2 linked regions of the Arabidopsis thaliana genome follow. The protein of the gene in region 1 interacts with the protein of each later gene in a pairwise test. Each region holds a gene or a part of one and is shown on either strand. Other genes may lie near its edges.

Region 1 (4,891 bases):
CGCAACTACTTCTCCTTAATGCTCCCTTTTATAGGCTCAACCAATTTTGTATTTCTCCTTAGTGCTCTTTTTTATTGACTCTAACCAATAATATTTGTATTGGATGTCATAAAAGAGACTCTTGTTATCTCTTGTGAACATTGTTTTTAAACCAAAAAACAACAACCAACTTTGCTCTTTCGCTTTTAGTTGCAACTCATTTTCAAACGTAAATTTTGTTAAGCGTTATGTGAATTTCCGACTCAAAAATCAATTGACATTCACTGAACATTCTCAGTATGGGATTTCTATCAAGTCTTTTGAAGATGTGGTTTCTCTGATCCATTTAGAGTAAAATCTTACTTTTTTTTTTTTGCAACATGTATATCTTATTTTTATCCACCGATAATCAATTATGTACAAGTTGATTGCATAATTTTTGGTGTAGCAAAAGTAGGTTTAAACGTTGGAAACCGAACTTAACTCATGGTATTGTCTTGATGGGCTTGATTCCTCCTATCAAGTTCTTTATACATGGACAAATTCTTAATGAACTAGCTAGCATGGTCAGTTTTGTACCAAGTCCGGAAGCAATTCCCAATTAGACATATGATGAGCTTGGAAAGATGAGTGAATGTGATTCTTCTAGAGAGAGTACTTGGAGATCATCAGGAGGCATATGTAGTGGGACAAATGTTTATAGAAAAATATTCAATCGGGAAAGTAATACATGATTTGTTAAACTGTAAAAATGGCGAAAGTACATGGACTGCAATGGTGGAACGAAATGGCTAGTAATGTATATTGCATGATCATGGGAATAAGGAGAAGATAAGTGATGGAATTGGGGGGGGGGGGGGGGGGGTTAAAGGTCGACGACCAAAATATGCGCAAGCATGAGTTTGAGGGTTGCTATGTCTGAGTTGTGAGTTATGATGACTGAGATATGTCAAACTATGAGTTTGATAATAAGACTATATGTAATGAGAGTGTTGAATAAATTATTCAACTGTTGAACACATACGATGAGAGTGTTGAAAAAGTAAAAAATCATATGTGGATTAAACACTATTGAATAGATTCAACATATTGAAAACCAAAAAATGGGAGAAAAGATGTATGCTCTCAAAGGATAAACGTTAAAAGAACCACCTTTTCAGTCGCAGAAGGAGAGGCTCTAGTCTTAAAGGAAGCAACCCTCCAACTAAAATGGTTGCAATTTGATCATCAAAACCGGTCCGTGACTAAAGTCCATGAAACAAAAGCTTTAGGTAACAGTAATAATAAGAGCTTTAGATAAATGGTCTAATGGTCTGTCCGAACCTTTTCAGTTTTCAATGATCAGTCACAGTTTTGATTCTAATTATTGTTGAATCTATTACTTATAATTTTTTTTGACTATTTATGTTAATATACCAAATTATTTTTGCTTTAGGTATCCATATAGTTTTGACCGACCTCGATGATCATGTTATATTCTGTGGAGATTTATCAACTATTTATAAATACCTTGAAACCGCTACTAGACATTGGAGTAATCCCTCACCTTGTCTCATTTGGCAAATATTTCCTATAGGTTCAACTTATTAGTAGAAATGACAATGTCTTGGCTGACACTTATCAAGAACTCTCCTTGTAATCACTTAGTTACTTCCATTATGGAAAAGTTGACCGATCGAAAAAAGGTATTAAAAAAAAAAAATAGAAAAATTAAGATTTTCATAGTGTAATTGTAAAAAATAAAATCAAATTATTTTCAGATATTCCGTATTGGGAATAAATCTCAGCCGTTGATTACTATCAACGGTGTACAATTACTGCCTTTGCCTGTTACTTGTTCTGCTCCGTCGCTCAGATAGGATCTCAACAAGACACCACAAACCCTAAATTTCGTCAACTCCACAGCGACTCGATTCGATCAAGGAAATGGCGTACGCTTCTCGTTTTCTCTCCAGATCTAAGCAGGTATATACTCTCTCTCCCTCGATTTTTCTGATTCTCTTCTTCGTTCTGTTTGATTCCTTTTGTTTTCCTCCCATTTCTGGGTTTTATGTGTTTCGATGCGATGGTTAGAGTGAGATTATCGATTTTACTGTATCTCTATCACTGAATCACATCTTAGGGTGTGCCATTTCAATATCGTAGTCGAATTTTTGTTATCTTTCGTACGATCTCAATCGGAGAGTTTGTTGAAATCAAATGATAAATTTGATGGGGTTTTTTTCTACTCGTTGTTGATTTCTAATACAGTTCGAAATGATAAGATGATTTGCAAGAAGTATTCTTTTCATCAAAACTTGTTATTGATCCATAATTTTTATTATCTTACTCTCATTACGCAGCTACAGGGGGGTCTGGTCATTTTGCAGCAGCAACATGCTATTCCAGTCCGAGCTTTTGCTAAGGAAGCTGCTCGTCCAACCTTTAAAGGAGATGGTTAGTGACCAAAACTCATACTTCGGATTTGTTATTATGCATAGAACATTACGTTTTCAATAACACACCTAGTTGAAAACAGTTGCTTTCCTTTCTTTAGCCCTTCGTGCTTTTGAGTTTAACATCGTGACTACTTAAGAATATGTCAAGTCACTTTTTTTATGTCGAATGTGTAGAAAAACTATATTGGTCAATGTAATATAATCTTGTGAAACCCAGGCCATGATTGCTAGGACTGTTGTTCTGCTTACTTCTTTTGTTGAGTTTTATATGTATCCAGTTTATGATGGATTATGTTTAATATGTTGCTGAAATCTGTACTATGTGTTTAGAGTGAAGAAGCATTGCTGTTTACTATTATTGACTCAAGTTTTACACTTTTTGACAGAGATGTTGAAGGGTGTCTTTTTTGATATCAAGAACAAATTCCAGGCTGCTGTTGATATTCTCCGTAAGGAAAAGATCACCCTTGATCCAGAGGACCCAGCTGCCGTAAAACAGTATGCAAATGTAATGAAGACCATCAGGCAAAAGTAGGCCTCTTGTTACTCTTTTGTAGGTGTTTGTTATTTAGCTTGAATGTTGTATGTCGTGATCTCTATTTCTGTTTGTTGGGATTGGTTTTACTTTTCGACTTTTCTGAAACGAGTTAAATATATGTGTCAATGCTGCTATTTTAACCTTGTTAATTTGGTTGCTTGTCATCCGTTTTTTTGGTATGCAGGGCAGACATGTTCTCAGAATCTCAGCGCATTAAACATGACATTGATACTGAGACTCAAGACATTCCAGATGCTCGTGCATACTTGTTGAAGTTGCAGGAAATTCGCACCAGGTAGCTGTTAGACTTTGAATAATTTTCAGTTATCTTAGGATAGTTTTCCCTCACCCGTAAACTTGCTCTTCTTATGTTATTATAATATTGGAATTATCTTCCTGTAAGATCTTGAATGTGATCGTTAAGCAGTTATCTGAAGACTGCATTTAACTATCTATATTTTCATCTCCCTCTTTGATCTGCTATTGTTTGCAACATATGAAGAATTGTTGGAAGCAGTCTTTAGTTATACTCCCACTTGTGATATATCTTGCAGGAGGGGGCTTACTGATGAGCTTGGTGCTGAGGCCATGATGTTCGAGGCTTTGGAGAAAGTCGAGAAGGACATAAAGAAGCCTCTCCTGAGAAGTGACAAGAAAGGAATGGATCTTTTGGTTGCAGAGTTTGAGAAAGGCAACAAAAAGTGCGTCATCATTCTTCAACCATCCATACAAAACACGAACAAATGATTCTCATTACTACTTATATGTATATCGATTTACATATTGATAGCTAATTGAATTGCATGTTTGCGTCTCATTAATCTAAACAGGCTTGGGATTAGGAAAGAAGATCTTCCTAAGTACGAAGAAAATTTGGAGCTCAGCATGGCCAAAGCACAGTTGGATGAGCTGAAGAGTGATGCTGTTGAAGCTATGGAATCTCAGAAAAAGAAGTGAGTTTTGTTTTCTTTTCACTTTTTTTGTTTCTCAATTTATCAATCATTGATCTTACTCATGTCATAACGCGATGGAACTTGCGGATTATTCAGGGAGGAATTCCAGGATGAGGAAATGCCGGACGTGAAGTCTCTAGACATCCGTAACTTCATCTAAGGTTTGATCCTTAGAAACATTTGATTTGTTGTAAGAAAAGGCAAAGATCTCTCACTTGATTGTCTTTGAAAGAGAAGATCGTTCCCTTGCTGCTGTTTTGGTTTGGCGTTCAATAAGGTCTCTCACCTGGATTTGAGTCTAACTCTCTCTGTGGTTATTACGCTTGAGATTCTTAGACACAAACGTTGTTTCATGTTTTTTTGATAATGGTGATCACTGGAATTTGAGATAATTAATAAAAGTTGTGATGTTAATTCGAAACAAAAGCGTGGCAAGCAAAATCAACCCGAGAAACTATTATAGTTTTGTATTTAGTAGACCAAATTCGAACCAAATCTAACCGAAATGGGATCTGGAGTATCATACATTCTAGATGAATTAAACCAATCATATCGAACACGTGGCTTGTCTGTGAACAATTATAATGGGTTTGTCTGAGAGACGTTAACAACTGTTTTCTTCGCCATGGCGGCGATTCCTCTCAAAGCTCCTTCTCTTCCTGGAACGAGAGAGTGTTCTCCCTTCCTTAACCGGTTCGTCACTCATCAACCGGTTAATTTCATCCGGAAGTTTCATCCTTCCTTAGATGAAGCATCGTTCTCCAGACGGGGACGAACCACTGTTGTTCGCGTTTTGGAGACGGAGAAGAGTACGAAAATAGAGAAGCCTGAGCCTCCGGTGAAATTGATTGCTCTCGTCGGAAAAGGAGAAGTAAGCCCACTCAAATCCACCTCTTGGGAAGAAGTTATGCTCCACACTGTAAGTAATTGTCTTCTCTCTCGCTTAACAATTGTTGCAAATTCCTAAACATTTCGGTTTCTGT
Region 2 (4,970 bases), 1.1 Mb from region 1:
GTTTTGAATTCTGGATCACCTCTCAGAGATCCTACATGAAAGCATTATCTGGTTGGCTTCTAAGATGTTTCAGATGTGATCCTGACCCCGAAAAAGTTAGATTATCCTCATGTCTTCACCCGATATACCGAGTCTGCATTCAATGGTCAAGGTTGCTTAACAGCTTGAATGAAAAACCAGTTTTGGACAAACTTGAGTTCTTTGCCTCAGGGATGGGTTCAATATATGCAAGGCAAGTTAGGGAAGATCCAAACTGGAGTGGAAGCGGGTCAAGGAGATACTCCGGGTCAGAAAGCATGGAGCTTGTAGTGGCTGATAAGGGAGAAGAAGATGTTGTGATGACTGCTGAGAAACTTGCAGAGGTTGCTGTGAAGGTTCTCTGCCATGGAATGTCTGTTGCAGTTAGTTCACTAGCTGAGTTTTCCATCAACTCGGCCGATGAACACTCGAAGCTTGTTAGCCAACCAGCAGACGATGCGTCGGAGCAGCAGCCCCCGGATGTAAATTTCAATTCCTAGTACTTGTTATTAATTTTGTTTGGTTTTAGAGAGTTTAGAATTAGGTAGGTTTTTGGCATCATCTTTTGCTATCAGAAGATAGTTTCTTAGATGGATGAGATTTGTATTATTTAGTAAGACAAATAGAGTTAGTTCAGTTGATTCTGAGGATGTGTACCAAGAGTCTTCTAATGTTCCTCGGTATTTTATCCGGTGAATCGGTTCCCATGATGTGCCTTAAAAACCAATGAAATTTATATAAAAGCCAAAAGCTCTCCTTCAGAACGAAAAGTCGAAAACCATTATAATGTGACTAAATCTCACATCTGTATCCTCTCCATAACTAAGAGTTCAAGAAGAAAAAAGCGTAGAGATTACTGGTTATGTTTTTATCTTAGTCTCAGAGAGTTCGCCTGAGAGTTACCGGTCCATTTAATAAGAAAAGCTTTAGTTTAGTCATCTTCATCTTCATACTCCAGTTCATCAGAACTACCTCCTCCCATCACTGATACGTAAATGACGACAGCTAGAAACTGAGCAGCTAGAAAGAACCTTGCTCTTTTCTTAAATTTTTTCTCCTCTTCGGTCTTTTCTACCTTTGGTTTGCTCTTTGGCTTCGAACCTGAACAAAAGATGAAATTCACTTCCTTCACAGGCTTAAACATATCCAATGAATGTTGCATATATGACAGATATATAATATGATGAAATATATATGATATGGACGTTGAAGGTTAGATGTGTCTTACTCTTTCTTGGAAATGAGGAAGGGAATGAGTGAAGTGGAGGTGAAGGAGATGAAGAAGAGGCTTCAAGGAACTCTGACTTAAGTTTCTCAGCATATCGCACAAGATTACTATGTTCCAGAAGTTTGCACCGAAGCACTGATGTAACCTGATCATGCACCATTAAGAAAACTACTTCATCTAAATAGTTCTAAGGCTAAATTCAACCTGATAAACCCATAACTGAGAAATATATTGGTGAAATTTAAAGCTGCTCACTGGTAACGCTTGGATTATAAAAAGTATGTGCGAGAGTAAGAAAGCATCCAAACTCGATGGCCTGTGGGAAGAGAATAATATAAACATTGTCAATCTTTTACAAAAAGGCTTAAGGGAAAGAATCCAGTTCCGGAATGTGATTGCAATACCTGTCTTCAAAGAGAAACTTCTGCTCACCTAACCTAGTCGACAAAGCTTCATATGCCTCACTTGCTCTCTTGTATATCTGTTCACATTTAAGACTATGAACTTTAATAACTAGTTCAAATGCTCACAAATATAAACCACAGGTCTTCTAAAGTAACAACAAAACTTAAACAAACCCGACCTGTTTTTCTCTTTGCTCTGCGTTCTCTTTGGTGATTCCTAAACGGTTCTTTGCCAAGTATGTCTGCTTATAAAACAGGACCTTGCTGATCACCCAAGGAAGATCTGAATAGTAGATTTTCGATGTAGATATCCCCTCGGTACCAACCCATATCTCATAGGTAAGCGCTTCTTCTAGCCAAGACACAATAAGAGCCTTCAAAGATAAATAATCCGAAAGAGACTGTAGCTGAGAGTCCAGATTAACAATCCCATCTTTCTTCAGTTTTTCAATTACTCCTCCATCTTCATTGTTATATGCAACATATGTATCACTTTCAAAGTACGGCAGTTCATCTATATTAAAAACAAATGATTAACATTGTCAATACACAAGCTTATAAATATTGAATGCACAAATTTGTAAATCCGTGAACAAAGGATTACGAAGTGTCTAGAGATATTATCAAACATAACATAGAAATTCTGAAGATATTGTTAATATACAAACTCAATAGCTAAATCAAACAACTAATTTCTTCTGAACAAGTATGAAACATCATCATTCTCTTCGAATTAACAATTACGATAACGAGGAATTCAACCAAAGCTATAACAAGAAATTATGATGAACACTTCCTATCCAGAAAAATTCACCAATGCATATATACACCTCAAAATTGAATTACTATTGCCTAAAAACCCTATCTAAACTCTGATTAACCTAAGAGCAGGATCTTAATAGTACGAATTCGAATCCAGAACTCAAAATTATCTTGTCTAGGATTCGAATCTCAATTCAAGCTAATAGAATTAACAATGTTCACTTCCAACAGATACACATCACGCAACCAAAACCTTAATCTAACAACAACCAAAATACGAAGCGAGGAATCAAAACAGAAGCAAACCTGAATCAGGGAAGGTTGAATTGAACGCAAGTTCAAAAGGTAGCTGGGCTAATTTCAGGTATATATAAGCAGGAAGACAATTAGGGCAAGCTGTTGGGAGATCGAAGGAAGGCTTCCTTGCCACCAAAGTATAAACATTCGTCTCTTGATCGCCTTCCATTATAGTGACTCGTATGTGTGAGAGCTCTGGTCAAAAGAAGAAGAAGTACTCAAGTAAGTTCGATCGTCGATAGAGAGAGATGGGGCGAGAAGAGAAGATCCAGTCGAGTCCGGGTCTGGGTTAAGGTTTAGTCGGTCGGGTTTAAAACTAGGGTTTATTAATACGATAACTCATTTTGGGCTTTAAAAGGCCCACAAATTACCCATTAAGACAAAACTACTGGAGGAGGAGACTCGGAGAAAGTGGAATTGTTTTCTCCTTTTTGTTAGTTTGTAAAAACTAAAATTACTGTGTAACAGTGTAAAATACATCATCCACATTTTTTTTCTTCAAGATGACTTTATAAAAATAAACTCAACTTAAATTCAGAAGATATAATCAAAACTGGCGATGTGGGCTTTTGAATTTAATGCTATGAAGTTAGTATTTTGGATTTACCATTTCTTTTTAGAGTTTATGATATATACTTAAGGATTTAGTTTAGAATTTATACTTTGGAATATACTTGCATAAAAAAGTATAACACATTCCCTAATAGTGATATGAATTTTATGTTATATGTTCTTACCTCGTTTTTTTTCATTTTTTCGTGGAAATATATATTCATCCACAATGTGAACAAAATAGAGAAGAAGGGTAATACGCGTGATCATATACAACCAACAAAACTAAACCTTATTCTCACTTCCACTAATTAAGCTGCTTCGAAGGAAACAAACTAAACCACGAGAAAAACATTTTTGAATTTTGACTAACAGCAAGAAAAATTCGTTGAATCCATATGATTCTGTGTACTATATAAACATTACTTTAGCACGAACTTCAAAAAGAGAAGAGAAAAAGAAAGGGGGTTTGTGTTATGGCTCCCATAACTTTTAGAAAATCTTACACTATAGTACCGGCCGAACCAACGTGGAGCGGTAGGTTTCCCTTAGCCGAGTGGGATCAAGTTGGTACAATTACTCACATTCCCACCCTTTACTTTTACGACAAGCCATCTGAATCTTTCCAAGGCAATGTAGTCGAAATCCTAAAAACCTCGTTGAGCCGTGTGCTAGTCCATTTTTACCCTATGGCTGGCCGTCTCAGATGGCTCCCTCGGGGACGGTTCGAGCTCAATTGTAACGCCGAGGGAGTGGAATTCATTGAAGCGGAATCTGAGGGGAAGCTTTCGGATTTCAAAGACTTCTCTCCTACGCCGGAATTCGAGAATCTTATGCCGCAAGTAAACTATAAAAACCCTATCGAAACGATTCCTCTATTTTTAGCTCAGGTAACCAAATTCAAATGCGGTGGAATAAGCCTTAGCGTCAACGTTTCCCACGCGATCGTAGATGGCCAAAGCGCGCTTCACTTAATATCGGAATGGGGAAGACTCGCGCGCGGTGAACCGTTAGAAACCGTTCCATTTCTAGACCGGAAAATCCTCTGGGCTGGTGAACCGCTCCCACCGTTTGTGTCGCCCCCAAAGTTCGACCACAAAGAGTTTGATCAGCCACCGTTTTTGATCGGAGAAACGGACAATGTAGAAGAGAGAAAGAAGAAAACGATTGTGGTGATGCTACCACTGAGCACATCTCAGCTGCAGAAGCTACGAAGTAAAGCCAACGGAAGCAAACACTCTGACCCGGCGAAAGGGTTTACAAGGTACGAGACCGTCACCGGACACGTGTGGAGGTGCGCGTGTAAAGCACGTGGCCACTCTCCGGAGCAACCAACGGCTCTAGGAATCTGTATAGATACTCGTAGTCGGATGGAGCCACCTCTGCCACGCGGCTACTTCGGCAATGCTACTCTTGACGTGGTCGCAGCAAGCACCTCAGGTACGTGTTTTTTCTTTCTTTTCTATTACTATCCATAGAAATTTTGTTTGTTTTGTGAATTTGAATACACTTCTTCAAAATTTAATTTAGTCCTCTAAACAAAAATTATGATTTTGTTCATTACTTTTATATTCCAATTATATATATTATTTATTTATTAATTTTTTTCAATTCAAAAATATTACAAAATATTGTAATTTGTTTATCTTAGAATTCGTGTCAAAAGACCGTCAAAACGACTCTTTTATGAAACTGATGGATTATCATTA

Evidence for each region. The genes of interacting proteins can lie anywhere in the genome.
Region 2: the proteins of MGP1 (region 1) and AT2G19080 interact in a two-hybrid assay, tested with the Arabidopsis thaliana proteins (one study listed by BioGRID).

What each region holds. Positions count from the first base shown.
Region 1 is NC_003071.7:9,319,633-9,324,523, reverse strand, and holds MGP1 (MALE GAMETOPHYTE DEFECTIVE 1), read left to right. Parts: upstream 1-1,656; 5' UTR 1,657-1,905; coding exon 1,906-1,944; intron 1,945-2,321; coding exon 2,322-2,415; intron 2,416-2,803; coding exon 2,804-2,948; intron 2,949-3,139; coding exon 3,140-3,250; intron 3,251-3,509; coding exon 3,510-3,656; intron 3,657-3,785; coding exon 3,786-3,908; coding exon of another isoform or gene 3,909-3,912; intron 3,913-4,004; coding exon 4,005-4,068; 3' UTR 4,069-4,334; downstream 4,335-4,891. Other genes in the region: AT2G21860 (violaxanthin de-epoxidase-like protein), read left to right, coding at 4,534-4,827. UniProt on the Arabidopsis thaliana protein: Mitochondrial membrane ATP synthase (F(1)F(0) ATP synthase or Complex V) produces ATP from ADP in the presence of a proton gradient across the membrane which is generated by electron transport complexes of the respiratory chain.
Region 2 is NC_003071.7:8,260,726-8,265,695, reverse strand, and holds AT2G19080 (metaxin-like protein), read right to left. Parts: upstream 2,997-4,970; 5' UTR 2,879-2,996; coding exon 2,719-2,878; intron 2,165-2,718; coding exon 1,830-2,164; intron 1,728-1,829; coding exon 1,651-1,727; intron 1,563-1,650; coding exon 1,502-1,562; coding exon of another isoform or gene 1,424-1,501; exon of another isoform or gene 1,392-1,423; coding exon 1,247-1,391; intron 1,120-1,246; coding exon 950-1,119; 3' UTR 558-949; downstream 1-557. Other genes in the region: AT2G19090 (DUF630 family protein (DUF630 and DUF632)), read left to right, coding at 1-518; SHT (spermidine hydroxycinnamoyl transferase), read left to right, coding at 3,738-4,701. UniProt on the Arabidopsis thaliana protein: Involved in transport of proteins into the mitochondrion.